Diceros bicornis minor: one gene and its partners. The protein of the gene in region 4 purifies or fractionates together with the protein of the main gene of each other region. This does not show direct contact. Links are inferred from orthologs where the notes say so. Each region holds a gene or a part of one and is shown on either strand. Other genes may lie near its edges.

Evidence for each region.
Region 1: the proteins of RPRD1B (region 4) and POLR2M purify together in Homo sapiens (affinity purification with mass spectrometry; 3 studies listed by BioGRID and IntAct, counting the BioPlex papers as one, with this or other methods). This does not show direct contact. The link is inferred for Diceros bicornis minor from reciprocal best matches to the Homo sapiens genes RPRD1B and POLR2M.
Region 2: the proteins of RPRD1B (region 4) and POLR2D purify together in Homo sapiens (affinity purification with mass spectrometry; 3 studies listed by BioGRID and IntAct, counting the BioPlex papers as one, with this or other methods). This does not show direct contact. The link is inferred for Diceros bicornis minor from reciprocal best matches to the Homo sapiens genes RPRD1B and POLR2D.
Region 3: the proteins of RPRD1B (region 4) and RPRD2 purify together in Homo sapiens (affinity purification with mass spectrometry; 4 studies listed by BioGRID and IntAct, counting the BioPlex papers as one, with this or other methods). This does not show direct contact. The link is inferred for Diceros bicornis minor from reciprocal best matches to the Homo sapiens genes RPRD1B and RPRD2.

The regions. Positions count from the first base shown.
Region 1 is NC_080744.1:52,976,786-52,984,226, reverse strand, and holds the start of POLR2M (protein GRINL1A), read right to left. Parts: upstream 3,016-7,441; 5' UTR 2,904-3,015; coding exon 2,791-2,903; intron 1,027-2,790; coding exon 379-1,026; intron 1-378.
Region 2 is NC_080749.1:5,087,791-5,094,915, reverse strand, and holds the start of POLR2D (DNA-directed RNA polymerase II subunit RPB4), read right to left. Parts: upstream 3,010-7,125; 5' UTR 2,990-3,009; coding exon 2,917-2,989; intron 1-2,916. UniProt on the Homo sapiens protein: Core component of RNA polymerase II (Pol II), a DNA-dependent RNA polymerase which synthesizes mRNA precursors and many functional non-coding RNAs using the four ribonucleoside triphosphates as substrates.
Region 3 is NC_080743.1:54,811,280-54,818,685, reverse strand, and holds the start of RPRD2 (regulation of nuclear pre-mRNA domain-containing protein 2), read right to left. Parts: upstream 3,006-7,406; 5' UTR 2,427-3,005; coding exon 2,222-2,426; intron 1-2,221.
Region 4 is NC_080758.1:22,147,447-22,155,246, forward strand, and holds the start of RPRD1B (regulation of nuclear pre-mRNA domain-containing protein 1B), read right to left. Parts: upstream 3,005-7,800; 5' UTR 2,625-3,004; coding exon 2,474-2,624; intron 1-2,473. UniProt on the Homo sapiens protein: Interacts with phosphorylated C-terminal heptapeptide repeat domain (CTD) of the largest RNA polymerase II subunit POLR2A, and participates in dephosphorylation of the CTD by RPAP2. Transcriptional regulator which enhances expression of CCND1.

The DNA of each region.
Region 1 (7,441 bases), on a different chromosome or scaffold from region 4:
CTTTTGCTGAGAAAGGCCATCAGCTCCTGTGATTGCTTTTCCCTTAGCCTACAGTCTAATCAAAGGGGGGAGCTGTATACCAGAAAATGGTTCCGGGGAAAAAAGCATAATAAATTCTCTAACTCTGTGTTTATTATGAAATATTGCCTAAGCATCCCGAAATTTAATACTCCATCTGCTATTTAAAATCTTTTCAACTATTTGGCTAAAAAAGCTTAAGTATTTTTCAACATAAATCCTCTGGTCTGTTTACAATATGTTCATTCCTAACCACAAGTAGTTCTCACGCACAAGTCCACTGAACTGAAAGCATTCTTCCAATTTTTGAGTTTAACAAATACTATGTTGCCATGACAGCCTGTTTCCGATGGTACTTACACATTGGTTTTAAATTTATGTGGTGGGGGCACTGGGTTTTTGGCTCGCATTTCGAGCACTTCCAAGTAATGAGGCTTCTTCTGAGTCCCACTACAAAGGCCTGTCAAGTTCTCAGTACTGGTGTTTTCTTCAGAGTGGTGTTCACCTGGGTCTGCAATTGTGATCCTTTGTAACCTATCAATAAACAGGTTGTCAGAGCTGCTAGAATGATCTTCTGCTTGACTTGAAACACGATGCTGAGGGAGACGCTCGCTAGCTTTGGATGAGGAAGGCGCGCTGTCTCTGCTGCTGGAAGCTGGGCACTTGTTCACTGCGTACTCAACCTCTGGAGCCTCTGCATCACCTCTGTGAGTAGGATATACAAGTCCCTGTTGTTGTGAGGTTGTTCTAGATGACTTGATGTTATCTACAGAGGAACAGCCAGGAACTAGTGATGAAGTATCAAGGATCTGGTCAGAGTTCTGGGCCTTATCCGTGTCCACGTCCACACCTGCGACTGCTTTTTGCCTTAGCTTATGGTCTAAACTAACAGGATGAAACAGTTCACTCTTCCCTCTAACTTCTTCACGTTCTGCAAGGGCAGCTTTCAGTTTGGCAACAGAGTCTATTATCTTTTTACCTTTGTCGGGCAATTTGCAAATGAATTTTCTGTCAAATGGAAAAGAACATGTATACATTAGAGCCATGGTTTTAAACGTGAGATATAAAGACAAAGCATTATCATCAAAAGGACCAAAATTGACCTTTAAGTCAAAAATCTGATTTCCAACTGCCCCAAAACAGGAATGAAATAAGACAGTCACTATCCAAATACCTCAAAAAAACAAGGACATGCAGGAAGAATGGGGAATATGCCTCACTTGTCTCATCTAATTAAAATTTCAGCAAAAGTATTTTAAGCATATAAGAACCATATAAAACATTACAAAAATCAGTAGTTTTTAAAGTGTGATCTCCAAGACCTTCCTAGGGAGGGGAGGTGGATGAGTCTGCAGGGTCAAAATTATTTTCGTAATAGTACTAAGACACCATTTGCCATTTCCCTCTCATTTTCTCACATGGGTACAGTGGAGCTTCCCAGAAGCCACATGATATGTGAGGATATCACTGCTCTGATGGCTAATGGAATGTGTGTGCTTTTGTATTCTTGTGTTTTAAAAGTTTCTCACTTGTAATTTCTAACACATTGATAAATATCAGTATATATAACACATAAAACCACAGCTCTTTGGGATGCTCAACAATTCTTAAGTGCACAAAGGGGTCCTGGGACCAAAAAGTTAATTCACTGCTAAAGATTAAAAACTCATTCTCACAAAGTCAAAAAACTTGTCTCTACTAGGAAGAACCCAAGTGATTGTTCGTCCCTTTTGCTGAATGACAGAAGTTACTTTTCAAATTCCCTTGTCTTTAGCTAAACAATAAATGGGGAGGGAAGTTACATCTCAGGCCCTCTATTCTTTCTCTGGCACTATATTCGTTCTCACAATTTCAACTAGTAACATCTCTCTCCAGTTGCGATTCCTGTATTTTCCCAACCTTCTCCTCTCTCTCTTGAGCCTCATGACCACTTCTGCAGCTTTTAACCAGGTAACTAGTTAACTCAGCATGCCTTAAGTAAAATCAACCTGGGAAGTAGTCCTCTCCACGTTTTTCTTGTTTTTATTAATGGTTTTCCATACAGGCTGGAAACTTCAACCCTCTCTGTCAACTACATATTCAAATTATTCCACGCCTAATGTAGTTTTTCCAATCCCTCAACTACCTTTCTAGTTCGCCTTCTTACAACCCCCTCGTTGGGAACTTTTCTGAAGATATCCTCCTACTGTCTTCTGCCTCTTATTCCTTCCAACCATCCTGCACCAAGCTGCTAAATTTAGCTTCCTAAAAAAAAATTACTTCCATTATATAGTTCCCCTGCTAAAATCCGTTAAGTCTCCCAGCTGAATGAGAGTCAAACTTTCTCTGCCTAATAAACCACTCTTTATATCCCACTCTTTCCATTTCCTACGGTTCCTGTACAAATAGGATCGAACGATGCAACTGAGATGATGTTTGGGACACGATGGGGGAGGGGGAGAAAAGGACGTAGTACACAGAGCCTTCCTTCGAGGAACAGACACGGCAGCTGAGTAAAGAAAACCAACGCGGAGCTAGCGGAGAGCAGAAAGGCCAAGCCGCCGTTCAGCACAGGAGCCACCCCCAAGGGCGGGACGCGCCGGCCGGGACGCGCCGGCCGGGACGCGGTCGGCTCTGCGGCTGTAGGCCGGCCACTCGCCAGCCGGATGGGACGAATCTGACTGAGGCAAGGTCACCTTCCAGAGAAGGCACGGGGGGAGGGAAGGGAGGGACGCGTCCCGGGGAGCCCGAACCGAAGGAGCCTGGCAGTGACTGGGCGGGAGCCAAGCTTACTCGTTGCGCAAAAGTCTCTCCTGGCGCTTCAACATCTCCCGCAGCTCCGCCAAACTCCGCTGCCCCAAGTCCTCGGGAGCTTGGGGCTCGAAGCCGCGGGGCAGCGAGGACATTCTGCGGGGGCTGCGCCTGGCGAGGCGGCGGGCACGCGGCTTCCTCGGCAGCCCCAGCTGCTAGCGCCGGATCCGCGGCCGGCGGGGACTCCGGGGCACGAGCGGGAGCCGCCATTTTCCCGGAAGAACAAGTCGTCTTCGAGCCGAATCGAGCTTTATTGAAACGCCGGAAACAGACACAGACTAGGAGAAGGGGGCACCCGGAGGGGCGGGAAGGGGCGGAAGTGACGGGGTGACGTCACGCCCCGGCTGGGCTCGCTTTTGCGGTGCAGGTTGTTTCCATGTGCGTCCAGTCTCCGTGTGTGTATTCAAAAAGTATTTACTGAGTGCCACCGTGACCTCGGCAGGTAGCCACGGCCCTTGCCGCTAGACAGGCTACCGAGTGGTGGAGGAGGCAGACGTTAATCAAGTAAGAAGAAAACAGTGTAATAGTAAGATTGGGGTGGGCACCAGGGATGGTATCTCTGAGAAGTGAAATATAAGTGAAATCTGAGTGATGAGTTAGCTAGCTGTTGGTGAGGTTGGGGCGGAGTGCAGGACAGGGTTTGAGGGGCCCTGGCCTATGCTATGGCACCTCCTAGCCCAAGACTTAGTGAAGTCCTCAAATGTTAACGTTGGAAGGATCCTTGGGACCATTGGCGTTTCTTAATGGGGCTCTATGGCATTTGAAGCGGGACTTTTCTTCATCTATGGCACTGCCTCAGGCATTGAAAGACAGTTGGTGTCTGGCTTCTGCCCACTAGTTGCTACTGCCACAGTCACTGTAACAACCCCAAACGGCTCTCCTGACCCCTACACACACGTTTCCCAAGGCCCATGAGAGGTGAAGGGGGTGGAAATAGCTGTCCAAGCCAGCTGAGAATCACTTTCACAATTCCCTATTTTGCCTATAGAGAAACAGAGGCACAAAAACTGAAGTAAGTATTCCCAGGACCCCAAACAAGTCAGTGACACATCAGATTTCAAACTCAAATGTCCAGCTGCTCGTTCCACCACACCACTTTGGAAATTTCCTCCTTCTTCATTTTATGCCTATTTCCAAATGTATAATATTGTTGAAAAGTTTCTTTCCAGCTGTTGAGAAGAGGAAGGAAGTGTCATAAGCATCACAGCCAGCTCTTACCTTCTCTTTACAGTTCAGCTAACAGAGCCATGTCCCAAAAGATTGAGTAGGAAGCATGCACGAGTTGCAACAGATATCGATTGGGAAGTTTGAACACCCCCATAAACTCCAACTCCCCATTCTTTGATATGGAAAATTTAAATTTTCTAATCCTATGTCAAGTGCTATAATAAACACAAGCAATTCCCTCCCAATCAGACAGAAGCTCTAGATAAAAGCAGAAGCTACTCCAGGGAGCACAGTTGAAGTCATTTCTATATCCTCCCAATCTAGTCCATTCTAATCAGATTAATGTATCAAAATTCTCAACATAAGCCCAGCTTTCAAGGACTTCAATACCTGCTCCAGCCCTGGCTAAAGAAGAAATACTTGAGTAAGGCCTTTGAGTCAGGTAGTTGTCCCGCTGGCAAGCTCCCCCAAAGGCTCCCTCATCCTGTCTCTGGCCGCAGCTGGAGGCCTTTATTCCCCCACAGTAGTCATCCCCATCTTCTAAGATCCTGGGCCACAGGTGTCCTCAAGGCGAGGATGCCTTTCTCTCAAGCCTCAGAATTTTGCCCCTGGCTGTTGTCCTCTTGTGGAAGGCTGTCCCTTTCCCCCCACCCCATTATAAATCTTGGCTCAAGTCTCACCTCCGCCCTGAGCCTTCTTAGATTTTTCCAACCCAAATTGCTCTTTCTTTTGAGCATAACTGTAGTGCTTACAGTCAGAACCTCACTATGAACCTGACAATATGAAACATATAATGCTTCTCTCATTGTGTTATGCATGGTGATTTCTTTTTCCTTTCTAACAAAATTTTAAAGTCAGGGAATTCTGTCAGAGAGCTGGGTTTGTACTTTTCTGTCTCCCCCTAATGCACATAACGGGTACGAATTGACAGGATCTCCCTCTCATAATTTTTTTACTCCATATTCCTCTTTCTCTTAATGAAAGTCCTTTTTGTGTATACAAACCTTAAGCTTTTTCTGTAAGTATTAACCATAATTACTGTGAAGATATTTTCAGTGGTATGGGATAGAATCTTTTACACAACATAGCTTAGGACTCAAGATGTCATAATACAAATCTGAGTTCCTAACCACAGCTATGCACAAACTGTCTAGCTCTCTTTTCAGTAACCAAGCAGGCTAGTTGTGCTTCAAAATGAAAATAGGCAACATATTCTTTTATAATCTGTCAAACAAACAAAGATGAGTATTTAGAACGCAAACTTTAACAGCAATTTCTGGGGAAAAAGGATATAAAATGGAGAGATTTCACAAGCAGAGAAATGTTTACCTGTTTCCAGCCAAACTGGGCAAAACACTTGAAAAGAAATGGACCCACAAACCACAGGCAGCTAATCTCCGCTGAAGAATTCCAATTGTATGTCAAAGAGCCCTTCTGTTACAAAATTGAATCTAGACAAGTGTTTTTGGGTTTTGTTTTTCAATACTCATTAAAAAACTCTAAATCATGTTTTCCTATGATACTTGGATTAATCACCTGAGTGTTAATTGCCCTCAGAGTAAACTAATGAACTTGGCTGTTACAAAGAAAGAAAAATTCACAACGAAGAATTAAAGGAAAGGAAAATTTCATCAGCATATGAAGTGATGCCTGGATGACTTAGCCATCCCATTTCCACCAACCTGCCCAAGGACAGTGTTTGAATGTGATTTAAAGATGACAAAATCAAACAGAAAAACCCGGGAAAGATTTCCATTTGTCCTTACAGAGTTGAATATAACAATTGCCAATCAATTGTAAAATTGTAACATTAATCTTCAGAGTCTGCAGGCTGCTCTTCTCTGTTTTCTCCCAATGATTGTCAGTTTGGGGGCGTGAACGGCCACAAAACTGGTCACAATTTACCTGGAGTACACCAAAATGGCAGCAAAAATATTTCCCGTCCCACATGTTCTTAGTATGTGAATTTAACACTCCTCCTCTCAAGAAATGGAGTTGATGTTCCCTATCCTTAATCTGGGCATGCTTATGACTAGAGCAAAAGTGATTTTTCCAGTCTGCATGGTAAAAGATGATGCAGCTTCTGCCTAATTTTCCTGAGGTGCTTACTCTTGGAACCCAACCAGCAAGCCGTGCAGAAACCTGAGTTTGCTTAGGTGTTTCGGCTGTCAGTCCAAGCTGAGGTCTCAGCCTAACGGCAGCATCAGCCACCAGACGTGTGAATGAACGAACCTTTGGATGATTCCAGCCCCCAACTGTCAAGTCACTACCAGCCTTCCAGACTTCCATGTTGGAGCCCCAGAAACTCTGGAGCAGAGACATCCTCACTAGGCTCTTTCTGAATTCCTGATCTACAGAATTTGGGGCCATAATAAAATGGTCATTATTTCATACTTTTAAGTTTGGAGTGGTTTGTTAAACAGCAATAGTAATGGGGACATTATTCAAGGTTAATCCCTCCATCTATGCTCTGGATCCCATCCATTTTGCCTCCTTGGAGATCTCATTCATTGGTTCATTTAATAAATATTTATTGAGGACCTATCGTGTGTAAGACACTGTTCTAGGCTTTGGAGATATAGTGACGAATGAGACACGTTTCCTGCCACATTGAAACTTTCATTCCATCAGATAGTACTAAAGTGTTACATGGAGAATTAATACAGGTGATGTGATAAGGAGTAATTGGGAGGCCACCTTGATTGATTGGGTGATTGAGGTTGATTTTTCTGAGGATGTAACTTATAAGCTGAGACCTGAATGTCAAGAAGCAATTAGCCATAGGAAAATCTGATGGAAAAGTATCCCAAGTAGAGGGAAGAACAAATACTCAGGCTCTAAAAGGAGAAAGAGCTCCTCAAATAACAACAGTTAAAAAGGCTGGGGCTAGATCTTGCAGGGCTTTGTAGACCAAGATATGGAGTTTGAATTTTATTCCAAGAGAAATGGGAAGCCATCTGTGGTAGGCAGCCTCTAGGATGGCCTCCAATGGTCCCCCTAGTGAGAAGTCCCCCTCCAACTGAATATGGGCTGGACTTACTGACTCACTTGTAACAAACAGAATATGGTAAAAGTAATACCAATGGCAGAAGTGATGGGGTGTCACTTCCAAGATTAGGTTATAAAAGATTGGAACAGATATTTCACCAAAGAAGATGTATAGATGAAAAATAAGCACATGAAAGGTCACCGATGTTATTAGCCATTAGGAAAATGCAAATTAAAAACACAATGAGATGCTACTACACAACTATCAGAATGTCTGAAATTAGAAAGATTGACTATACCAAGTGTTGGAAAAGATGTGGAACAACTAGAGCTCTTATACACTGCCAATGGCAATGTAAAATAGCACAACCACTTTGGAAAACAGTTTGGTAGTTTCTTAAAACCTATTATATGACCCAGCGATTCCTCTGCTAGGTATTTACCCAAGAGAAATGAAAGCATGTGTCCATACAAAGTC
Region 2 (7,125 bases), on a different chromosome or scaffold from region 4:
TACACACACATTATACATAATTTAATTTATTTGGGAAACAAAATGAAATACATCAGGGAATCTGCATGTTATTCTCCCTCTGTGCAGATATTTTCAGAACAATTTATTAATCCCTGTTCCTGTAAGAAGGAAAACAATTCCTTGGTCAGCACCTCATCTAGGAATTTTCTTAAAGATTCTTCATTACAACCATTAATAAATGTTTTATGATAAGGGTAGCAATTTCAGGTGGTCTTCTTATAATGTACATTTTTCTCTCTAGAATAAAATGGTTTAGGGGATTTCTTTAGTTGAGGGAGGGAGTGACTGGGATTATATAATCTTTTTTGGAAAAAATGGCTTACTTCCTAATTTCTTCCATACAGTTGCTGTTAATTATGCCGATGAAGAACAAATTTTATTTGCATGCAAATATGCTTGTGAAAACTACCACTACACGTATTCAGAAGCTTTCAATCGTCTCATCCATTCTTTCAGTCCTACAATGGAATATCACACATTTGTTTACTTTCCATCCTACAGCAAAGACTTTCCCTATCTTTTAAGTACTTACTGTTTAATTTTATTTATTTATTTATTTTTTGCCAAAGCCCCAATAGATAGTTGTACGTCATAGCTGCACATCCTTCTAGTTGCTGTACGTGGGACGCGGCCTCAGCATGGCCGGAGAAGCAGTGCGTCGGTGTGCACCTGGGATCCGAACCCAGGCCGCCAGCAGCAGAGCACACGCACTTAACTGCTAAGCCACCGGGCCGGCCCATTACTTACTGTTAAATACTATATATCTACATACATTCTAAAATACATAATAAACATTTTTTTTTAATTTTACTTATTTACTTTTTCCCCCAAAGCCCCAGTAGATAGTTATATGTCATAGTTGCACAGCCTTCCAGTTGCTGTATGTGGGACGCGGCCCCAGCATGGCCGGAGAAGCAGTGCGTCGGTGAGCGCCCAGGATCCGAACCCGGGCCGCCAGCAGCGGAGCCCGCGCGCTTAACCGCCAAGCCACCGGGCCGGCCCCCATAATAAACATTTTATATGCCTATATCAGCTGAGAAGTTAAAGATAACAGATATTCAGAACTGATACACTGTTAATTGATAGGATCTAATATCTAATTATACCCAATTCAATAAAATGTTCATGTGTATCAGATGTTACCTGATTTTATCAAAACAAATATTTTGAGTAGAAAAAAACTAAATAAAAACTACGTAGATAAAACTCAAGTACAAAAAATTTGTCCTAATTTACCATGAAATTAAGAAAAACCATGTCCCTCTTAGTTATTACACCTTAAAAAAGAAACAAACATATTTCCATTATGCCAAAAACTTCCATGAAGCTATCCTATAGAAACATTTGACCTTGAGTCTATGAAATAAAAAACTGGAAGCAACCTATAAGTCTATCAATAGATATATTAAGTACTATCTAGCCCTTTAAAAAAATAAGACTTCTGTACAATATATAGTCAAATTTTTAAAAAGCTGTAGGATTTCTACAGCATAATTGCATTTTTGCAAAGAAAAAAGTGTATACGTATATATTTATGAATAAGCATAAAATGAGTCTGGAAAGATAAGCACTAAAATGTTTACAGTACTTTCCTCTGGGTGAAGGGGGTGTGGAGTTTCACTTGTTACTGTGGATATAATAATTTTGTGTGTGTGTGTGAGGAAGATCAGCCCTGAGCTAACATCCGTGCTAATCCTCCTCTTTTTGCTGAAGAAGACGGGCTCTGAGCTAACATCTATTGCCAATTCTCCTCCTTTTTCTTCCCCAAAGCCCCAGTAGATAGTTGTATGTCATAGCTGCACATCCTTCTAGTTGCTATATGTGGGGCGGAGAAGCGGTGCGACGGTGCGCACTGGGATCCGAACCAGGGCCGCCAGTAGCCGAGCGTGCGCACTCAACCGATAAGCCACTGGCCAGCCCGGATACAATAATTTTTAAAACAGGAGGGTGTTGTTAAGGTTTCCCCTGTTTACTTCGTGTTTTTCAGTACCTGTAAAATATGGTATTTTAAAATCTTAAGCTTCCTGCTTATTTTGGGTTTCTAAATTACAAGCAAAGTGCATCCCACTGCACTGAGGAAGTTCCCTGATAGCAAAATGTGCTTTACTCCTTGCCATCTGACAAGAGTCCCTCCTTGACCAATCACTAGCTGGGCTCTTCTGAGCCCTCTTCTCCACTAGGCCTCAACCTTGGCCCATAAAGACCTGAACAAAACACCAACATGATTTCTAACAGCTCATGGCCGACCCCAGCCCCTTTAAAGCGCCTGCCTGTGAAAACTCAAGGCCACTAAAATAACGGACTGTTTGCTCCAGCCGACACCTGAAGAGAGGCTCCCTGTCTCCCAGCCCAGAGGGAGGGCAGGAGCCGAACTTCCCTAAGTGTCAGTTAACAAACAAAACGAGTTTCAAATAGACCAAAGCCCCCCTTCCCGCCTTCTGTAATTTTTCACTTCCCTGTCGAGGCCCCGCTCACCCCCTCTCTATCCCCTCATTCTTCCTTTAAAACGCCAAATCGAAGCTGAGCCTAGGCCACGCTGGACTCTTCCCCTACTGCGACAGCATATTACTGATTACAATCTGTCCTTACCGCTTCGACCAGTGCCGGCTTTGTCTAGCCTGACACAGCCCTCCAGCACCTTGCGGTTTATCAGAGAAAATAAACGACTTAAACAGGTACAAGAGGCCGCCCAGGGGCAGTGTGGGCTGGGCGCCGACGGCTCCAGGCCTGCAGGCGCCGAACCTAGGTGGCCCGCTCTCGAGGCCCCCCCCGCCCGTCGCCGCCCGGGGACGCCTGGCTGCCCGCCGTGGCCAGACCTTGGTCGGGCGCCGGCAACGCCAGGCCTGCGGCGACCAAGCCGGACGATAGGGGCAGTCGGGCAGCCCCAGGCCCCACCTTTGGGAAAGATAAGCTGTGAGGCGTCCTCCTCTACATCGCCAGCCCTCGTGTCGCTGCCACCTGCCGCCATCACAGCCGCCAACCACACCACCGGAAGCGGAAGCGCTGAGCCGCCAGCCGCGGGAGGGGCGTGGCCTTGGAGGCCGAGGCGGGCACCTGGCGGAGGTGGGCGGGGCCGGTGGGTGGGCGGGGCCGGAAAGGCGGCCGAGGGCAAGCGAGCGGACTCGGGCTGCCAGAGAGGAAGAGGAGACCGGGCCAGGGCGGCGGGGTTCCGGAGGTTAGCGGAGCGCCAAGGGCGTCCTGCACTGGCCTGCGCTGGGGGAAGCCGTGCTCCTTCTCTTGTCCAGTACGTCCTTTGCCGCTTGTCCTGAGACCGGTCACTGGGCCTTTCTGAGCCTCAGCTTCCTCACCTATGAAGTGTGGATAAGGAACCTGCCTTCCAGGGCGGAGGAACGGATTAGATGAGATGCAGAAACGCGCCAAGTGACTGACCCAAGGAACTCCCGTTGATGTAAAGGTGGGTAGGTGACTACGAAAACATACAGTGGAATTCCTTTCAATGCCTTAAGCGTTTAAAAAATTTGATTGATTTGTAGTGGATACTTCTGAGCTCGTGAACAGTGATATTGAGGGGCCTTTAACACATCTGTTGGAGCATTTGGATGATACATAGAAAAGTAAGCAAATGAAAAATGATGGTGTTTTCAACTACAGAGAAAACAGGTTATACCGTAAAGGAAATAATCATAGCGCACAACGTGGCTCAGTGGCGAACAATGTTTAGGTATCATATAAGCTCTGTTAACAAAAAATGAATTAAGATATTACCAGACAAGAATGTGTACCTATATTCCTTTGATTTATAAATATAATTTTCACAAAATTAATTTGCTCTGTATGTGTATTTCCAGAAGGCATGTATTGGGTAAAATAATAGTAGGTTACATAGTATTGGCAGAGCTTATTACTGTTTCAAAGTGCTTTCATTAGAACTGCGGACAGATGTCCTGCTGAGAAGTCTGAGGACATGCAGCCGCTGGGTGTGGAAATGGACCTGCAACTCAGTGTAGGCCTCTTTCTTCCATCTGTCCATCTGACAGGGCTTTACAGAGCACCTACTACTTACTGGACCTCACCATGTGCTGGCTCGAGGGCTCGCTGGATACCCCACACTTGGTAGCTTCTGCACACACATAGCAGGAGAGAAGTCAGCAGGTGAGGAGAGAAGAAAGGAAAATAACAAAAAATACATGCAGTGATGTTTCACAGGTTAGTTTGTCCACAACGTTTTCATTCAGGAAACCATTATAAACGCTTATGTACAAGGCCCTGGGTTTAAAAAGATGAATCAATCATAGCTCTGTCCCCACAAGGAGCTCTCCTGGAGTAGCTGATGCAAGATCTGGACTTATTTTCCATAATAAAAGACAGAAAGTAGCAAATAGTATGCGAGAAAGTAAAAACAAGTGCTGTGGAAGGATACAAAGAGAAAGAGGCCTCTTCTGATTGGAGGTAGATGAGTCAAGGGGTCTGGGGAGCAGGGGCTGGCCTGGAACCGCTCCTTAACATGTAGTCAGTGATGGGGGAGGAGTCACATGAACAAAATTGTCAGGTACATAAGAGAAATATTCGCTCTTTAAGGTAAATTCATATTTCAACTTCCTTAAATGTCATTTTCATTATATCATTCTTGGAAAATGAAGGAAAACACAGTAATTATGCAGCCCTTATACAAATGTTTGCTATATTTTTCATTAATGTTGCTCTATCATTTTTCAATCAAAAGAGTAATTTCCACCTTTTGTAACCTTTTACAGTGCTTCTCAAAGTGCTTGTGGACTGAATCACTCATGTATTTTCCTGGACCCAGGTGTTCTGCCCCTAATGTAGAATGATGACATTTCGCAGTTCTCTGTATACTCAAAGTTAATGTACAGAATCTCCCAATTTAAGCTATTCTCTCATAAATTAAAAAATCTTTGTCACCAGCTGCTGAAGTCTGCTGGTAAGTGCTACAAAGGAAGCTAAAGGCATCCACCTGTAATCCTCTCCCTCATGCTATTAATAGTCTCTAGAGATACAAAGGAATGGGGTATATACAGTGGGGGTGGGGCTGTGTGATTCTGCCAACACCCTTTGACTTCCAGGCACAAAAACTTCCGGGGGGGGGGGTCCTGGGAGTCCCAGGATTTTAAGGCCTGGCTGGCCTGTGGCAATGTGACAGGGCAGTGAGCCCTGAGAGGGCTCGTCCACCCCATCATGCTGTCCTGGCACTGTTTGACTCTACCTGAGAAGCTCTCTCTTCTTCAGGTCAAGCTGGGCTGATTTCAGCACCCATGTCTTTCAGGAAGCCTGTCCGGACTTGAAGGGCTGAGTACACCAATTATGCCACCTCTTTTCATGGGCCCAGAGTAGCTTAGGGTTCAGAGGGTTTGACACTTGCCCAGTTGTTCCCATCTACACTTAGCACTGGATGACAGTCTGGATAGTCATAATCATTCAGCCAGTGCACCATGTGCTGGGGCTTGGTAAAGCATTTCCAACAGGCTACCTTGGAGATTCACAGGCCTGTCACAAAGCAGGAAATTCGGCTCAGAACTAGTTGTCTGGCTCATAAATGGCAGGACCAAGATTTGAGCTCAAGTATCAGACTGCCAGACTGTGAAGATTCCAATGTCAGCATTCTGGTTGGTTACTTCTTTGGCTGAGAACCAAAGTGGGATCAAAGAAACAATGGCCATACTGGGAGTCGGGGTCTGACTGGCAGCAGAACTTGAGAACTCTCTCCTGTTTGGTTCCCCCATCAATAGTTAGTTTTGAAATTGGAGGAGTCACTTGTTTTCCAATTTGCTGTAGCATACAAAACCTCATAGAAACAGAGCGAGTAAGCAGCAGGAAGAGACCCTAGAATCCTTGTCAGAGTTTCATTTTAGAACGAGGGAAACAGACGCAGGAGGGACAGGACTAACATTACGTTCCTCAGGACGCTACATGGTTCTTTGTACACTGTTGGTTCAGAGTCAGATCCTTCAGCCAGATCACTGTAGTATTTCAAAGCCAGATATTCAAGCCAAGGTCACAGACCCTAGATTGATCTGGAAGCAGCTTTAGAGCACCTCCCCTGCCCCCACTCCCACAAGAATTAGCACCACTGATCTCTGACTAGATGGCTTAGTTCACATTTCAGAAGACAACAGAGATTGTTAAAATGGCAAGTTTCATGTTATACATATTATACCGCCACCACCAAAAAAAAAAATCAATGATATGGAATTCCATGCTGTTTGACTACAGGTGGTATCACAGGTAATATGGAATAGTAATCTCTAGAACCATAATTTCTCTTGAAAGAATTCCTCTCACACACCCGAGTTATTATCAAATCTGTGAAGTGTTTAACCAGTCTCTAAGTCTAACCAAATCTCTAAGTGTTTAACCAGTTGCTTGTAGTCTGTTTCCAATATTACCTAAGCCTGACAGCATGCATACCTGTGGCTTATGAGGTCTGCCAAGTGTAAGGCCCTCAGAACTGGGAACCCAAAAAAAAAAAAATTTACTTCCTTGCAAATAAAAATCTCAACTGAAGACTGACAATCCCAGCATATGAATGTTTGTATGTTTGAAACATTACTCCTTACCATTCTCTTCAAACACATCTCATCCTTTCTGGCCCAAAACATTTCCCTTTTGGCCAGACCATCAATATGTCCTAGGGTCTTTGCTTGGATTAACGTCACCAGATGACATCTTAAATTTGAGCATTTTTTTCCCCGCTTCAGTTTTTAGCTTTTTGGGCAAGGTCAGTTTCAGTGGAAAATCTAATGAAAACTATGAGCCTTCTTTCTAGAAAAATCCAAATTTCAAAGGATTCATGAATTCTTGGCTCATGGCTCAAGAAACTTGGCTCTAAAAAACCAGTGGCATTATTACTAACCACAAAAAAATATACAAGTGCGAGGTTATTGGGGGTCATGAACACCACACAAAATATGCAGGCTGAATGAACACTGTCTGGTTGGCAGTCTTCAAAAATAAAATGACTGTTACCACTGTTCCAAGAAAAAAAAAATAGGCATCACAAAGAACAATTTTTACCCATTATGATTTATTCTCTACAATACTTTGTTAAAGAGTTCAATGATTTGCACTCTGAAGTTATATAGCCAAGAGGCAACCAAGTGTAATACAAAGAATTGGTCTGAAGTC
Region 3 (7,406 bases), on a different chromosome or scaffold from region 4:
AACTGTAAAGAAATACAAAATTAAATGAAAATGAGGCCCAATGCATAAACTGTTTTCATCATGCCCTTCACCACTCTCCTGAATACTTCTCTCAAAAGGCTTTATTTACAATAAGACAGACAATGTTCATTAAATGTAAATACAAAACCACTCAAAACTACCCTTAACCATTTTAGAAAGCTAAGTTCCATTTCACTAAGGGAAAAAAAGCAGGTTTTTAGAAAGCCAAAAGCATTTAACTATATAAACTATATATAATCCACTATCCACTTCCAAATTAAGTATTGTCTTCCTAGAGCAATCATTTTTTTGCTCTTAAGATATCAACAAGGGAAATAAGCTCAGGCACAATATCAACAACAGTAGAGGCCGAAAAATTCTGGCTCCAGTATATCTCATTATTGCTGACTAAAAAAAAAAAAATACTGTAATTGTCATCTGTAATCCCACAAGGCAGGGATGGGGACCAACTTACTCTTGCAAATGATGTAACCATATAGTTAAAGCACCAGAGTCCAAAGGTAGGAAATGTTAAATGTTTGAATAATTTAGTAAAAACGTTTTAAAACAGGAAGGAGAATATGTTTAAGGAGAATATGTCCTCAGGCTTACATGAGCACTGCTTGCTACCACTGGTGTACCAAGTACATGAAAGAATAATCTTCAAAACATTATTTTAAAAAGTTAAATGTGGCCATTGTTATCCGATATGGTGGAGTCAAATCCTAACTCCACCATTTTACTGTCTAACCTTAAGCAACTTGCTTAACATTTCTGAGCCTTAGTTTCCTCATCTGTAAATCAATGACTAAAAAATCTACTACCAGGGGTTATTTTAAAGTATAATGCAATAGATATTGTAAATGACAATAAAGGGCTGGGCACATAGCAGATACTTAATATGTGAGAGTCTTTGATGATGACTGTTATATTTGAAATTGTATGTTCTAATTTTACCTCTTGGAAAGAAAGAAACTTCAATCTGCTATTGGTAAATACAGGTAATCCTGTGTTGGTTCTACAACTCTTTCAGCATATATTATTCAAAGAGCCACAAAACACCTCTCCCAACAATAACTTTGTATACAAATGGTTTGAAACCTGGGGCCAATGATTTTGCAGGTTTTACCCTTGGGTTTCCTAAAACGTAAACAAATCACAACACTACAGGGGCAATGGCAGAAGTGGAAGAAGAATAACTGGATGATGGGTCTCACTGGTGACATACCATAGACAGGAAGCAACAAAAGACCTAAAATTCAAATAGATATATGGATTTAAGGTTAACCTCTTCTCAGTAGGAAGCAACAGTGACTTCTCCAGACTTCCTCCAAAAAGATTTGAAATCTTTTGCAAACAATCCATGCTTCCTGACAGTTTAATAGACCTCTTTTCCGTAGTAAAGCAGCAAAGTGGAAAAAACTCCCCATGAAAACAAAAAAGCAATAACTGGGTAAAAAAGTACTATAGGTGTATTCAAAAAGCACATTTCTTGATTTCCTATTTTGATTACCTATGAAACCAAACTCAATTCCTTAAAAAGGTACTTCAAGTGATTCCAAAGTAGCCAGATATGTTTTACACTTTAAGATATTAGTGATGATACAGACTACAGTTGTTTCCGGTCAGTATCAAGAAGCCTGGATTTTACTGCAGCAAACACAGGTACAGGGAAACCCCCAGGTCGTCGCCTCGGCTCCGTATGGAGCTCATGTTACTTCTTAACATTCACCAAGGTAAGCCTTTCTTACTACACCTCACAAGTTTTAGATCAGTCAAAAAATAAAGTAGTCGAACATATTCCAGCGAAATACGTGGCTTTACTACTGCTTAAACCATAGCTTGTCTATCTTCAGGAAAACCAGGAATCATTAACACGACAAGGCCTATAAGAAATAAACGGACGCGACAATTAACGTGAAGGTTCAGTAAAGTCAACAGCACCTTACAAGGCTCTGAAATGAAATAATACATAAATCTCTATCGATCTGGGCCCGATGGCCCAAGGTTACACCAAGTCAGTGGCTAAAAAAATCCAAGAAATAATGAGCCTCCTGCAGTTCAGGACACCCCTTGGCTAGGAATGGAGTCTAGGTTTGGGAACACTCGAGCCAAAGCTTTAATGGAGACAACCCCAACCGAAGGCAGTGGCTCCGTGGGAAAATCCCAAACGTTTCGAGCAGTATTTCCTTCCATTTCCCCAGTCACCCCCAACACTCACATCTCCGGAGCCACTTCATCCAATGGTAGACGATAGTAGTGTGGTGTTTCTTGTTCTCTATACACCAAGACGACAGGCCTTGAATAGATTCCATGGTGTTAGTTACCGACTGGAATTTTCGATCCAACGAGGACTCCAGAGCCCCCGCCGAAGAGGCCGACGAGGAGGAGGCCTTACTGCTGCCTCCGCCGCCGCCGGCCGCCATCTTCCCGCTTTGCACAAGCGCTGCTGCTCCTCTGGCGGCCGCGGCGGCGGCGGGAGCGGACGCGGGCAAAACAATCACTGCGAATGCGTGAAAGCCGTAGGTGGGGAGGGAGGCCAGGGGGTGGGGTGGTGCACGCGCTAGGCTCTTCTGGAGGTAGGACGGGAGGACCAAGCTGCTGGGCACGCTGGCGGCTCCTACACGCTGCAAGGTTGGGCTGCGCGTTTCGAACGTTTATCAGAATTGTTCTAAGGACTTGTGTTTAAACCAGTCAGTAATCACGGAAGAAATACGCAAAAAACAGGTCCTGCAAAGCCTCTCAAAATGCCTGGCCGCGAAACTAATGGTTTTATACTCTTCGGCTCTCAACGCTAAGGCCCTTCCCCACTCCTCTTCCCACTTACTCCAGTAAGGGCGGGCGTTAATATCTTAAATTTAATAGTACCCGACTGCCCCTTCAGTTGCAGAAATCTTTCCCTCTCCTTTAGATCCTCTAACACAGAAAAGGCCCAAGGCTACCTAGTCAGGATTTTTTTTTTGCAACGCAACAGCAGCAAAGGCACAGCAACAGTATCGCGCACGCGCTGCTTGGCCCCGCCCCCCCTCCGCTTCCTTCTCAACCTGGAAAGCAGAGGGAGGCGTGATGGCGGGGCAATCCGACCAATCGAGGGAGAAGAACGGGAAGCGCGCGCAGGAGCCCGCAAGCCCCAAGGGCCAAGGAGGCGCTTTGATTATTTGTGCGCCTGCGCAGTAGATAAACGTGTAGCGGGTTAGAAGAAAAACGGGGAGGGACGGGTGAGGGAGCTGGTCAAACTAAGGAGAAGGGTTGGGGGGAGGGGCTTCACCGCTCCGCCCCGCCTTCTGCTTCCTAGCGAGGTCTGTCTCTTGAGGCTGTGCAGCTCACACAACAAGGCCGGGAAACTCCCCCCACTCAGCGGGCACTGTTACTCTCTGGCGGCTGCAACCGCCGCCGCCGCCGCTAACTCCTCGAAGCACCAACGGGCGACAAAGGGGCTGGCAGCCATTTTGCCCTGCCTTACAAGATGCGCATGCGCCAGCTCCTGCGAGCCATTCACTACGCAGACTCTAGACCAAACAATATTTTACACTGCCCCTTGGACGATACCACTCGCAGTCACTTAACTATTTGGATTATAGGAAGAGGAAGTAAGTGAAGTGAAACGAAAAATTGCCCCGTAAAATTTTCGAGACGAGGAAAGAATAAAAGGCAAAGTGTGATCTCATCTTCAGTTGTGATGCAATCTCACAATTGCATAATACATTATAGTTTACCAGAGCCTTAGATATCTATTATATTGATTAGCACAACCTAGATTAAGCATTCCATCTCATCTGCCTATGCAAATCCTCTGGGCAGATTTGGAGGCTCCTGTGTTCCACTGAACACATGCAATTACGTATTGTATTTTAATTTTCTTACATCTCCCTAGTAGGCTCACGTTTCTTGATGCAGGGAACCTGTTTTATCAAGCTCATATCTAGTATTCATTAATTCAACAAAAAGTTGCTGAACGTCTTGTGCCAAATACTGTTCTAGATGTTGGGGAATAACAGCTAGCAAAACGGACAAAAATCCCTTCTTTTTCGGGCTAGTGGCAGGAGACCATAAACAAATGTATATCAGAGAGTAAGAAGTTCTATGAAGAAGTATGAAGCAGGGTAAGGGAGGGAGAGGACATTGTGTGTGATCCTCTATAGGGATGGGAATGGTGGTTTGGTGATCCAGGAAATCTTCTGGAATGAAGTGACCCTTGATCTGAATGTTAAGAACAAAGTAACCAAGCAGCTATCGCGGAGGTGGAGAAGAACATGCTGGCAGAAGGAACAGCAAGTGCAAAGGCCCTAAAACAGGAATGTCTTGACATATCAGAGGAAGAACAAGGAGGCCAGTGTGGCTGGAGAACAGTAAGAGAGGGACAAGTGGTAGGAGAGGGCTTGAGTAGGGCCTTGCAGGCCACTGTAAGGACTTTGGCTTTTAACTCTGAGATGGGGAGCCCTTTTAAGCAGAGAAATTACGTGGTGATCTTTTTAAAAGATCACATTGGGGGGCCGGCCCAGTGGCATAGCGGTTAAGTGGGGGCGCTCTGCTGCTGGTGGCCTGGCTTCAGATCTCCAGCGCGCACTGACGCACCGCTTGTCAGGCCATGCTGCTGTGGCTGCGTCCCACATAAAGTGGAGGAAGATCAGCACAGAAGTTAGCTCAGGGCCAGTCTTACTCAGCAAAAAGAGGAGGATTGGCATGGATCTTAGCTCAGGGCTGATCTTCCACAAAAAAAAAATCACATTGGTTGCTATGTTGAAAATAGACTTCAGAGCCACCGGTTAAGGAGGCTTTTGGAATAATCTACACAAGGAAATGATGGCGGCATTACCAGAGTTGTAGCAAAAAAGATAATGAGAAGGGGTGTCAGATCCTGGATATATATTTTGAAGGTAGAACTAAAAGGATTACTCATGGATTTAAGGGGAATATGAGAAAAATGAGTCAAGTATGACATGGAGGTTTTTGACCTGAACAATTAGAACAGTGTTTCTCCACCTTTTTTTTCATTATTGTTGCCCCTAAAGATCCTTTTTAGATTTTTTTCCTAATCCCCCCAACCCTCATGAGGTTGTTTTTTTTTTTTTTTTGGTGAGGAAGATTAGCCCTGAGCTAATAGCTGTTGCCAATCCTCCTCTTTTTGCTGAGGAAGATTGTCCCTGGGATAACATCGGTGGCCATCTTCCCCTACTTTATATGTGGGACACCTGCCACAGCATGGCTTGATAAGCAGTGTGTAGGTCTGCACCTGGGATCTGAACCTGCGAACCCCGGTCTGCCAAAGTGGATCGTGCAAACTTAACCACTATGCCACTGGGCCAGCCCCCCTCATGAAGTTTTAATGCCACAGATATATTGTATATCTGTTTATGTATTGCATGTATATCTGTGCTTTATACAAGAGTAAGCATGAAGTTTACTCTTTCTATTCAATGCAGAATTAAGAATGACTAAAATCTTTAAAAATTAAAAATTTTGAAGCTATTAATATTTAACTTAACTTTATAATTGTATTTGCTGAGTAAACTTTAATGTATTTATTTAAAAAATAGTAATTTATCATATCACATATGAAAATTAGCAATTCATACAAATGCATAATAGCAATGTAATCTTTTTAAAAATCATTCAAAACTATTATATTTCCAGCGAAAGTAAAACAATTGAAAAAATTAAATTTCTTAAAAATTTTTAGTGAACTTTTAACTTTTACTTGACATGAGAAAATTATTAGCCACTTAGTATTCAGATATTGTTGACATTTTTTCTTCTCAGCATTTGACATAGTTAATGATGCATTCAATAACTTTTATAGAATAATAAAATATCAACTATTTTTATTTGCTTTTTAAAGCCCAAGTCATATGCCAGAAGCACTGAGAATCAATCACACAAGGCGGTACATGACAGCCAATAGTCATGTGTAGGCCACTTCCTGTGTTAGGACTTAAAAATAGGGCAATAGAGGGAGAGAAAGTTCTTCAATCACAGCCATCTATTCCTCATAGTTTTGTAGTACTGACCTTGCATGCATTTTGTGTATCTCCCATGAACTCAATATCATTGCTGCTTGTAGTCATACCCTAGAAAATGAGAGATATTAAATAATAAGGAATAAAATTTTGTTAGGTAGAGTTGAGCTTTGAGGGTCACAAACCATTGTAATATCTAAGATATTTTCATTCCCCAGAGCCAATTTTTTCCCCTGTGGGATGATATTGCCCCCATTGAGAATGCATGAATTAGAAGAATGGAGTTGCCATTTTCTCAGATAGACCAGGAGAGGTTAGGGGGAGGAGTAGTCCTGTGAGAAATGAGTAGGAATTAGGATTTCAGTTATGGACATCTTGACTTTAAGATATCAGACACAAAAATGGCACTAGATATATAAGTCTGAAGTTCATGAGAGAGGTCTAGGTAGGAAACATCAATCTAAGAATTGTCAGTATATAGAGGGTGTTGAAAGCCAAGAGATGGATGAAGTTGCCCAGGAAGTGAGTGAGTGTAGATAGAAAAAAGGTCCAAGGACTGAGATATAAGGAGCAACTTGCAAAGGAGATTGAAAAGGAATAACCAGTGAAAAGGGAACCCAGAGAATAATGTTCTGAAAGCCAAGTAATGCAAATTTGTCAAGGAGGGAGTAATCAATTGTTAGGTGTTGCTGTGTAGGTTGCATAAGATGAGGACTGAGATAACCACTGGATTTGGCAACACTGTGCTCATTGGTGGTCTTGACAAGGGTTGTTTCCAGGAAATGAAGTGATTGGAGAGAGTTCTAGAGAGAATGGGAGAAGTGGAGATATCACAAATAGACAACTCTTTCAAGAAATAAAATGGGAGCAGAGAAGGAGCTGAAGCTGGAGAGAAATGTGAGTTCAAGGGGTCATTTCTTTTTCCAATATAGGAAATAACTGTAGCTGATGCAAATGATACATTAGGGGGAAATATTGATACAGGATAGAAATGGGACAATTGCTGGATTGATTCCCTTCAGTAGGTGGGAAAGGGTAGGATCAAGTGATAGGTCCACAGACTGTTCCTTTCTTGTAATAGGAACGTAGTGCATCCAGGGAGAGATTCAGGTAAGTTGGTTGGTAGGTTCGTTGGTGAGAATGTGCAGAAATTCTCTTCAATTACTTCTGTCATCTCAGTGAAATAGTCACTGTACTGGTGCGGAGGAAACACTCTCTTAAAAAGCACCAATGGGGGCCTGCCAGGTGGCGCAAGCGGTTAAGTGTGCGCACTCCGCTGTGGCGGCCCGGGGTTTGCTGGTTTGGATCCCGGGCGCGCACTGATGCACGGCTTGTCAAGCCATGCTTTGGCGGTGTCCCATATAAAGTGGAGGAAGATGGGCACGGATGTTAGCCCAGGGCCAGTCCTCCTCAGCAAAAAAAAAAGAGGAGGATTGGCAGATGTTAGCT
Region 4 (7,800 bases):
TAGCCACAGGTGGCTACTGAACACTTGAATTGTGGCTAGCAAAACTGGGGAATTGAATTTTTTATTGCATTTATTTAAAACTTTAGTTCCTTAGTCACACATTTCAAGTGTTCAATAGCCACATGCGGCAAGTGGCTACCTTGTTGGATAGTGCAGATACAAAACATTTCTATCATCATAGAAAGTTGTATTAGACAGTGTTGTTTGGATCCTTTATTCAACCATAAAAATGATGCCAAAGAACACAATTTAACTCCTAACCTATTTTTTAACTGAGTTACAGGCACCATGCCAAATGCTGTGGGCATTACAGAGAAACAAGAAGGCCTAGTTTCTCCCCCAAAACACAATCTAGTGAAAAAGACATAACTAGTAAGAATGAAATAAACACTAAGTTGGTGTGGGATGGGGTGGGAGGCAGTGATTAATTCCAACCAATGAAAGCACTACCGATTTGGCTGGAGTCAGAGAACCACCTTCACCTATTAAGTGCACTGAAGCACTGGGTACATACTTCAAAGCACATGTTTTGGCGTCGGAGAGCTCTGGGCTTATGTCCCAGCTGTATGCCCATGAACAAAGCACTTAATCTCGCCGTATCTTTATCTTCTCATCTATAAAATGGGGGATAATAACGCCAGCCTACTTACAACATAAGATTCCAACATATGAGATTAGGGTTAAAGGAGCTTCATAAACAAATGCACTCTCTAAATTGTTATTTTCAATAACTCAAATAGGGTGAGGTGGGGAATCAAGAAGACTTCACAAAAGAAGTGACATTTGAGATGGACTCTGACCTGTCTCTGAGATCCTACCAGATAGTATCCTGTAGAAGCAATTCATTTTTTCACATCTCAGATGTTGGAAATAATATTTGAATGGCACAGTGTAGTATAGGAAGAAGGCTTGGGGAGCCCCAGGCTCTATCCCCCAACTGCCCAGAGGGCTGAGAGGACCCCTATCTCAGTAATGCACATGATATGGGGGGGTGTCTCTGCTAGAGGGCGATAACCGAGTCTCCTGAAAGAATCCTGGATTTTGGTGTCTGCCAGCCTGACGTAGTCTGAGCCTCACCAGTTCTAAGGCCTTGAAAATACCACTTAGCCGCTTCAGTTTCCTCATCTGTAGGAGAGGGTGGAATCGCCACCTCACAGACAGTAGAGAACACATGCAAAGTTACTTCCCATGCTATAAAGGGCCTACCACATAGGCTGTCCAAAACAGCTCTAAGCTTCACTTCCTCAGCTTTCTGAAGGGAACTCAGGGGGCATCAGATAGCTGTGCAGGTGCCCATCCTCCCCCACCAGACTGTAAGCAACTTGGGGGCAAAGCCCATGTCTCACACTGAGTAATCAGGAGCCCACCTCACCAGTACATATCGAATGCCCACACTGTGCCTGACACCACGCTAGATGTTCATTTCGATTATCCTGTCTACTCCTCACAACAACGAGTTGTTTGAGCCTCAGTTTTTCCTCATCTGCAAAGTTCCTACTTCACCGGACTCTCCAGAATTCAGAAAATGACAATGTGTGTAAAGACATCAGTACTGCACCTCGCACATAATAAAAGCACAGTAAATGTCAGTTATCATATCTCCATTTTCCAGATAAGGAAACCGAGGACAGAGATTAAGCTGCTGGGGTCAGTAACTGGCAAAGGCAGGCTTAACTTCCAGGCAGTTGGCCTCTAGAGCCAACGTGCTACCAAGCACCCAGTCCAGGGCCTGGCACACGACAGGCTGAGCTCCGTGAATGTCCCCCTGTCAGATCCTGAGCAAGGTCTAGAATCAGTGCAAGTTGCATTAGAAGAGGAGCCTGACGGGCAAGGTCTAGGTGGTGTGGCCCCTCAACCTCTCTACAATGGGAGTAACTGCACCTACCCACTTCACAGGGCCGTTCTGAAGAGGGAGTGCGAGGATACACGTCAAGGTCTTAGCATAGGGGCTGGCACAGAATAAAGGCTCTGTAGGTGGCAGCTACCCTGCCCTCGTTTTACAGATCAGGAACGAGACAGACATGAAGAAACGCCGACATCACTCAGCAAGTAAGTGGCTGCGCAGGACCCAATCTAGGCAGTCTTACTCCCGAGTCCGCCGGCTCTTACGCCAAATGCCCAGCAAAGCGCCTGGCACACGACAGGCTGAGGCCAGCGCCCTCAACAAGGCGCTGAACGCCGCCCAGATAATAATGGTCCCAAGTGTCAGGAGGAGCCTGAAGGGAAAAGGGCTGGAGCATCCGGGTACCTGAGCCCTGGTCGGTGGAACCTCGGACCAGTACCTTAAACCTTCCCGGGCCTCAATTTCGTGCTCCGAGACATGGGGATAATACTGTTTCCAACCTCAGAAACGCAATCGGATGCCCGGGCCTGCAAAGCAAGGCTCAGTTAAGAAGCTAGAGGGGCCTCGGGAGTGGGTGGGGGAGAAGACACGCCGGGGGAGGTTCCAAGGGGGAGGGGAGGGGGTGATTACCTTTGCGGAGCTCGCGGTGCCACACGGAGACGATGGGTCCCGCGTGCTTGCGGTGGTGGATGAGCCACAGGGACAGGGTCTGCACGCTCTGCTGAGAGTTACTCAGCTCCGAGAGCTTCTTCTCCAGCGCCGACTCGGAGAAGGAGGACATGGTGGCAGCGGTCAAGCCCAGCAGGGAGCGGCCTGGGCCGCCCAGTGCGACGGCAAGAGCGACGCACGAGGCCTGGGCCTCACTTGACGGCCTTGGGGACTCTTTACTGACAGACAGCCAGCCAGGGGGGCAAAGAGGGGGAGGGGATGGGTCTCCGCAGTAACAGCGGCCCGTGCCGCCGCCACAAGATGGCCACCGACCTCTCACCCCGCCGCCACAGCGGGGTCAAAGGGCAAGGGCCGGAGGAGCTGGACACCAGGAGGTGTCAGAGCTGTGGAAAAAACGCCCCTCCAGTGGCGGCGGCCTCTCTGAACCTCGCTCAGGGCAGTTCGAAAGCCGCAGACGGGGAAAGGAGCGCACTTGAGCGGGCTCCGGAAGGCGCTTTCTCCGCTCGCGCCCGCACGCCGGCGCAGTGACCCTCCGCGGAACCCTTTCTCCCGCTCCCGCAGAACCTTTCTGGCGCGGTACGGCGCGCTAGTTAGCGCGTCACTTCCGGCGAGGAGGAGGAGGCGGGAGAGTGAGGGAAAGGCTGGAAGACGAGGTAAGGGAAGGGTGGCGGGAGCAACAGGGAACCCAGCAACCGCGAGCCCTTAGAGGGGGATCCTGAGGGGACGCTGAGGCGGAGAGATTACGACTTGGGTTTGGGAAGGGGGCTTCTTTCCTCACCTGGCTGGCTCCAGGCCGCACTCTTCCTCCATACACGTCCTGCTCTCTGGCCGCGCCCCCCACAAGCTTCTTTTTGGTTCTGCCAAGCCACCCACGTGCCGTTTTCACGCCTCCACGCCTTGGCTCTTGCTGTTCTTTCTCCAAAGGTGACGCCCACCTCTCACCTGGTGGCCTCCCATTCGGCCTCCAAGACCTCCCTTTAATGTCCAGTTCTGACGTTTAGTCTGTGACAGCACCGCCATGAAACACACCTTTGTGCTCTCCGCTCTTAATCGGTTGCTCATGCAGGGACTTACATGCTGCGCTTGCCCTCTGGGGGTCCAGTTGACTGTTTCTGAAATTTAAGTAATATGTTAACTTTCTGAGGAGCGGGGACAGAGAAGTCAGTGGATCCACTGACCTTCTTTAAGGAACACTATTTAAGACTCTGAACCTTTTTCCTATTTTTAAAAAGTTTTAAATTCCAGGTATCAAATCAGCAGAGAAATTTTGACCTTCTAACTGCTTAAGGGGGTGGAGGTAGGGAGTTAGGTTATTGAAGACATAATGGAATTTTAAAGTTTCCTGATTGTCGTGGAACTTCCCAGTTGTGGGCAGACAACAGTTAGGAGACGTTCTTCTAGCTGATGCCGGTTTTTGCTCTACTCAACTGTATTGTAGTTCTTTGCTTAGATGCTTTTACTCCTCCTCCAGACAAGAATCATCGTAATCATACCTAACATGGTGAACAGTTGCTAGAAAAACACTGTGTTTTCACGTAGTAACTCATTTAGTCCTCATGGCAAAGCTATGAATAGGTATTATGTTACAGAATTCCTATTTGGCAAATGAGGAAACTGAGGCAGAGAGAGGTTGGGTGACCTACCCAAGATCACATAACTGAGATTAGAGAGAAAGGACTGCATCTTATCTCTTTTTTACCCCAGCACCTGATTCGTAGCTGATTGAGTGAGTTGATATAAAAGAGATGAATAGCCCAAAATCACACAATATCTAGTCGTAATTATAACCTAGGCCTTTGAGTCCAAATCTAGACCATTTTTATGTATTAAGTAACACTGTTATATACTGAGTGCCTTTATACCAACTCACTGTGGATTAAGCACATTACATACATTCTTTTATTAAACCTTTACAAACAGTCTTATGGAATGGGGATTATTATCACTAATTGATAGATGAGGAAACATAAAACATGGGTAGGTAATCTGTCCAATGTCACTTGGACATTGTTAGGAAATGACAGAGCCTGGAGTCAAATCAAGGTTATCTGATCCCAAATTCTTTACTCCCAACCAGTGGTTCATTCATTCATTCATCAAATAATTTTTGAGCACCTATGTCTGAAGCTCTCTTCTAGGCAAACAAACAGAGAGAATCCATGTTCTTGGAAGCTTGTCTTCTGCAGGGGAAGCTGGGTAAACAAACGTGCAAGTATGAAATGAGTCAAAAAGTGATGAGTACCTTGAATAAAAGTCAAGGAGGGTGCAGGGGGTGAAGATGCCTGTGTGGGCGGATAGGAGTCTACTATATATGCTGCTCAGAGAAGCCTCGCTGATGCGGTGACATTTGATCAGAGCCCTGAAAGAAATGAGAGAACAAGCCATATGCTGTGTGGTGGAATATTGATCCAGGCAGAGGAAAAACCAAGTGCAAAGTCCTGAGGTTACACCATTGTTGGCATTTTTAGGAACAGCAAGGAGGATAGTAAGGCTGAAGTGATATAGACCAGAAAGCTAGAAATGAGCTCAGAAAGTAGCCAGGGAGCACATCACTTGAGGACTTGTAGGCAATAGTAAAGACTTTGGATATTACTCTGAATGAGATGAGAGTCTATTGTACGGTTTTGAGCAAAGGAGGAGCATTGTGGCTAAGTAGAAAATAGAGGGTACAAGCGCAAGGATGGAAGCAGGAAGGCCAGTTCAGCAGCTGTTGTTAATAGCCCAGGTGAAAGAATGACTCAGACCAGGGTGGAGGTGGTCAGCAAGGGTCAGATTCTGGGGATATTTTAGAGGAAGAGGTCACAGGATTTGCTGACAAATTAGATATGAGGTGTAAAAGATAAGAGTTTATATGGCCCCGAGAGTTTTAGCCTAAAGCAACCATAAGAATGGAGTTTGCATTTTCTGAATTGCGGAAAGAGCTGGTTTGGGGAGTAAGAGCAGGAATTTAGACTTGTGCGTGTCCAGTTGGAAATGCATGTCCAATGTCTCAGGCAATTGGGTTTATGGGTCTGGTGTTCAAGGGAGAGATCTGGGCTAGGATATAAATGTAGGGGTCCTATGGAGGAATAGATGTAGAAAGAAGAAGGACCTGGTGCCTGAGTCCTAGGACTCTTCAACATTTACAGGCCTGAAAGATGAGGATGGTTTAGTCATGTGATTTCTTCTTCAGCCTGTTAATATTAGTTACAGTGATTGATTTCCAAATTTTGAGCCAGCCTTACAGCCCTGGAATAAACCCTGCTTTGTCATGGTGTATAATTCTTTTCACATGCTGCTGAATTATATTCCCTAATATTTTGTTTAGCATTTTTGCATCTATATTCATGAGGGAAATTGGTCTGCAGCTGTTTTTTTTTAATTTTTGTATTGGTTTTGTTTGTTTTGTTTTGGTGAGGAAGGTTGTCCCTGAGCTACCATCTGTTGCCAGTCTTCCTCTATTTTGTATGTGGGGCCCTGCCACAGCATGGCTTGATGAGCGGTGGGTAGGTCCACACCCGGGATCTGAACCCGTGAACCCTGGACCACCGAAGCGGAGGGTGTGAACTTAACCATCTTTGTCAGATTTTGGTATCCGCATAATACTAGTTTCATAAAGTGGATTGGGGAGGCCGGCCCCATGGCATAGCGGTTAAGTGTGCACACTCTGCTGCTGGTGGCCCGGGTTCGGATCCCGGGCGCGCACCGACGCACCACTTGTCAGGCCATGCCGTGGTGGTGTCCCACATAAAGTGGAGGAAGATGGGCACGGATATTAGCTCAGGGCCAGGATTGGCATGGATGTTAGCTCAGGGCTGATCTTCCTCACAAAAAAATAAATAAATAAATAAAATGGATTGGAAAGTGTTTCCTCCTCTTCTTTTTCTAGAAGATTGTGTAGAATTGGTGTCAATTGTCTTTAAATGGTTGGTAGAAGTCCCCAGTGAAACCATCGGGGCCTGGAGATTTCTTTTCTTCTCTTTTTTTCTTTGTATGGTGTAAAAGTTTGTAAAAAGTATGTAAAGTTATTTGTGGTATTTCTGTATTATTCTTTGATATCTACAGTCTGTAGTGCTATCTCATTTCATTACTGATATTAGTAATTTCTCTCTCTCTCTCTGTCTCATGAGTCTTGCTAGAAATTTCTCAATTTTATTGATCTTTACAAAGAACCAGTTCTTTGTTTCATTGATTTTCTCTATTGTTTTCTGTTTTCAATTTCATTGACTTCTATTCTGATCTTTATTATTTCTTCTGTCTGCTTACTTTGGATTTATTTTGGTTGTCTTTTTCTAGGTTCTTAAGGTGAGAGTTTAGATTATTGGTTTGAGAGCTTTCCCCTTTTCTAATATATGTATTTATTTTATTTTATTTTATTTTTTAAATTTATTTTTTCCCCCCAAAGCCCCAGTAGATTGTTGTATGTCATAGCTGCACATCCTTCTAGTTGCTGTATGTGGGACGTGGCCTCAGCATGGCCGGAGAAGCGGTGCGTCGTTGCGCGCCCGGGATCTGAACCCGGGCCGCCAGTGGCAGAGTGCACACACTTAACCACTAAGCCACGGGGCCGGCCCTAATATATGTATTTAGTACTATAAATTTCCCTCTCAGCATGGCTGTAGCTGTGTCCCACAAATTTTGATATGTTGTATTTTCATTTTCATTCATTTCCATGTATTTTTTTAAATTTCCTTTGAGATTTCCTCTTTCATCCATGGATTATTTAGAAAGATGTTGCTTAGTTTCCAGGTGTTTGTTGATTTTCCTGTTATCTCTCTGTTAGTGATTTCTAGTTTGATTCCATTGTGGTTGGGGAACACACTCTGTATGATTTCAGTTGTTTAAAATTTGTTGAAGCTTGTTTTATGGCCCAGGATATGGTCTATCTTGGCATTCTTCTGTGGGCACTTGTATTCTGCTGTTGTGGGTCGAAGTATGCTGTAAATGTCAATTCGATCCTGTTGGTTGGTGGTGTTGAGTTCTTTTGTTATCTTTGTTGATTTTCTGTCTAGTTGTTCTATCAGTTGTTGAGAGAGGAGTGTTGAAGTCACCACCTATGCTTGTAACCACTTGTACTTCTCCTTTCAGTTTTATCTGTTTTTGCTTCATATGTTTTGTGGCTCTGTCATTTTGTGCATACACATTTAGGATTGCTGTGTCTTCTTGACAGATTTACCCTTTAATCATTATACAATGTCCCTGTCTGTCTCTGGTAATTTTCTTTGCTCTGAAGTCTACTTTATCTGATATTAATATAGCCACTCTTGCTTTCCTTTAATTAATGTTTGCATGGTAATATCTTTTTTTCC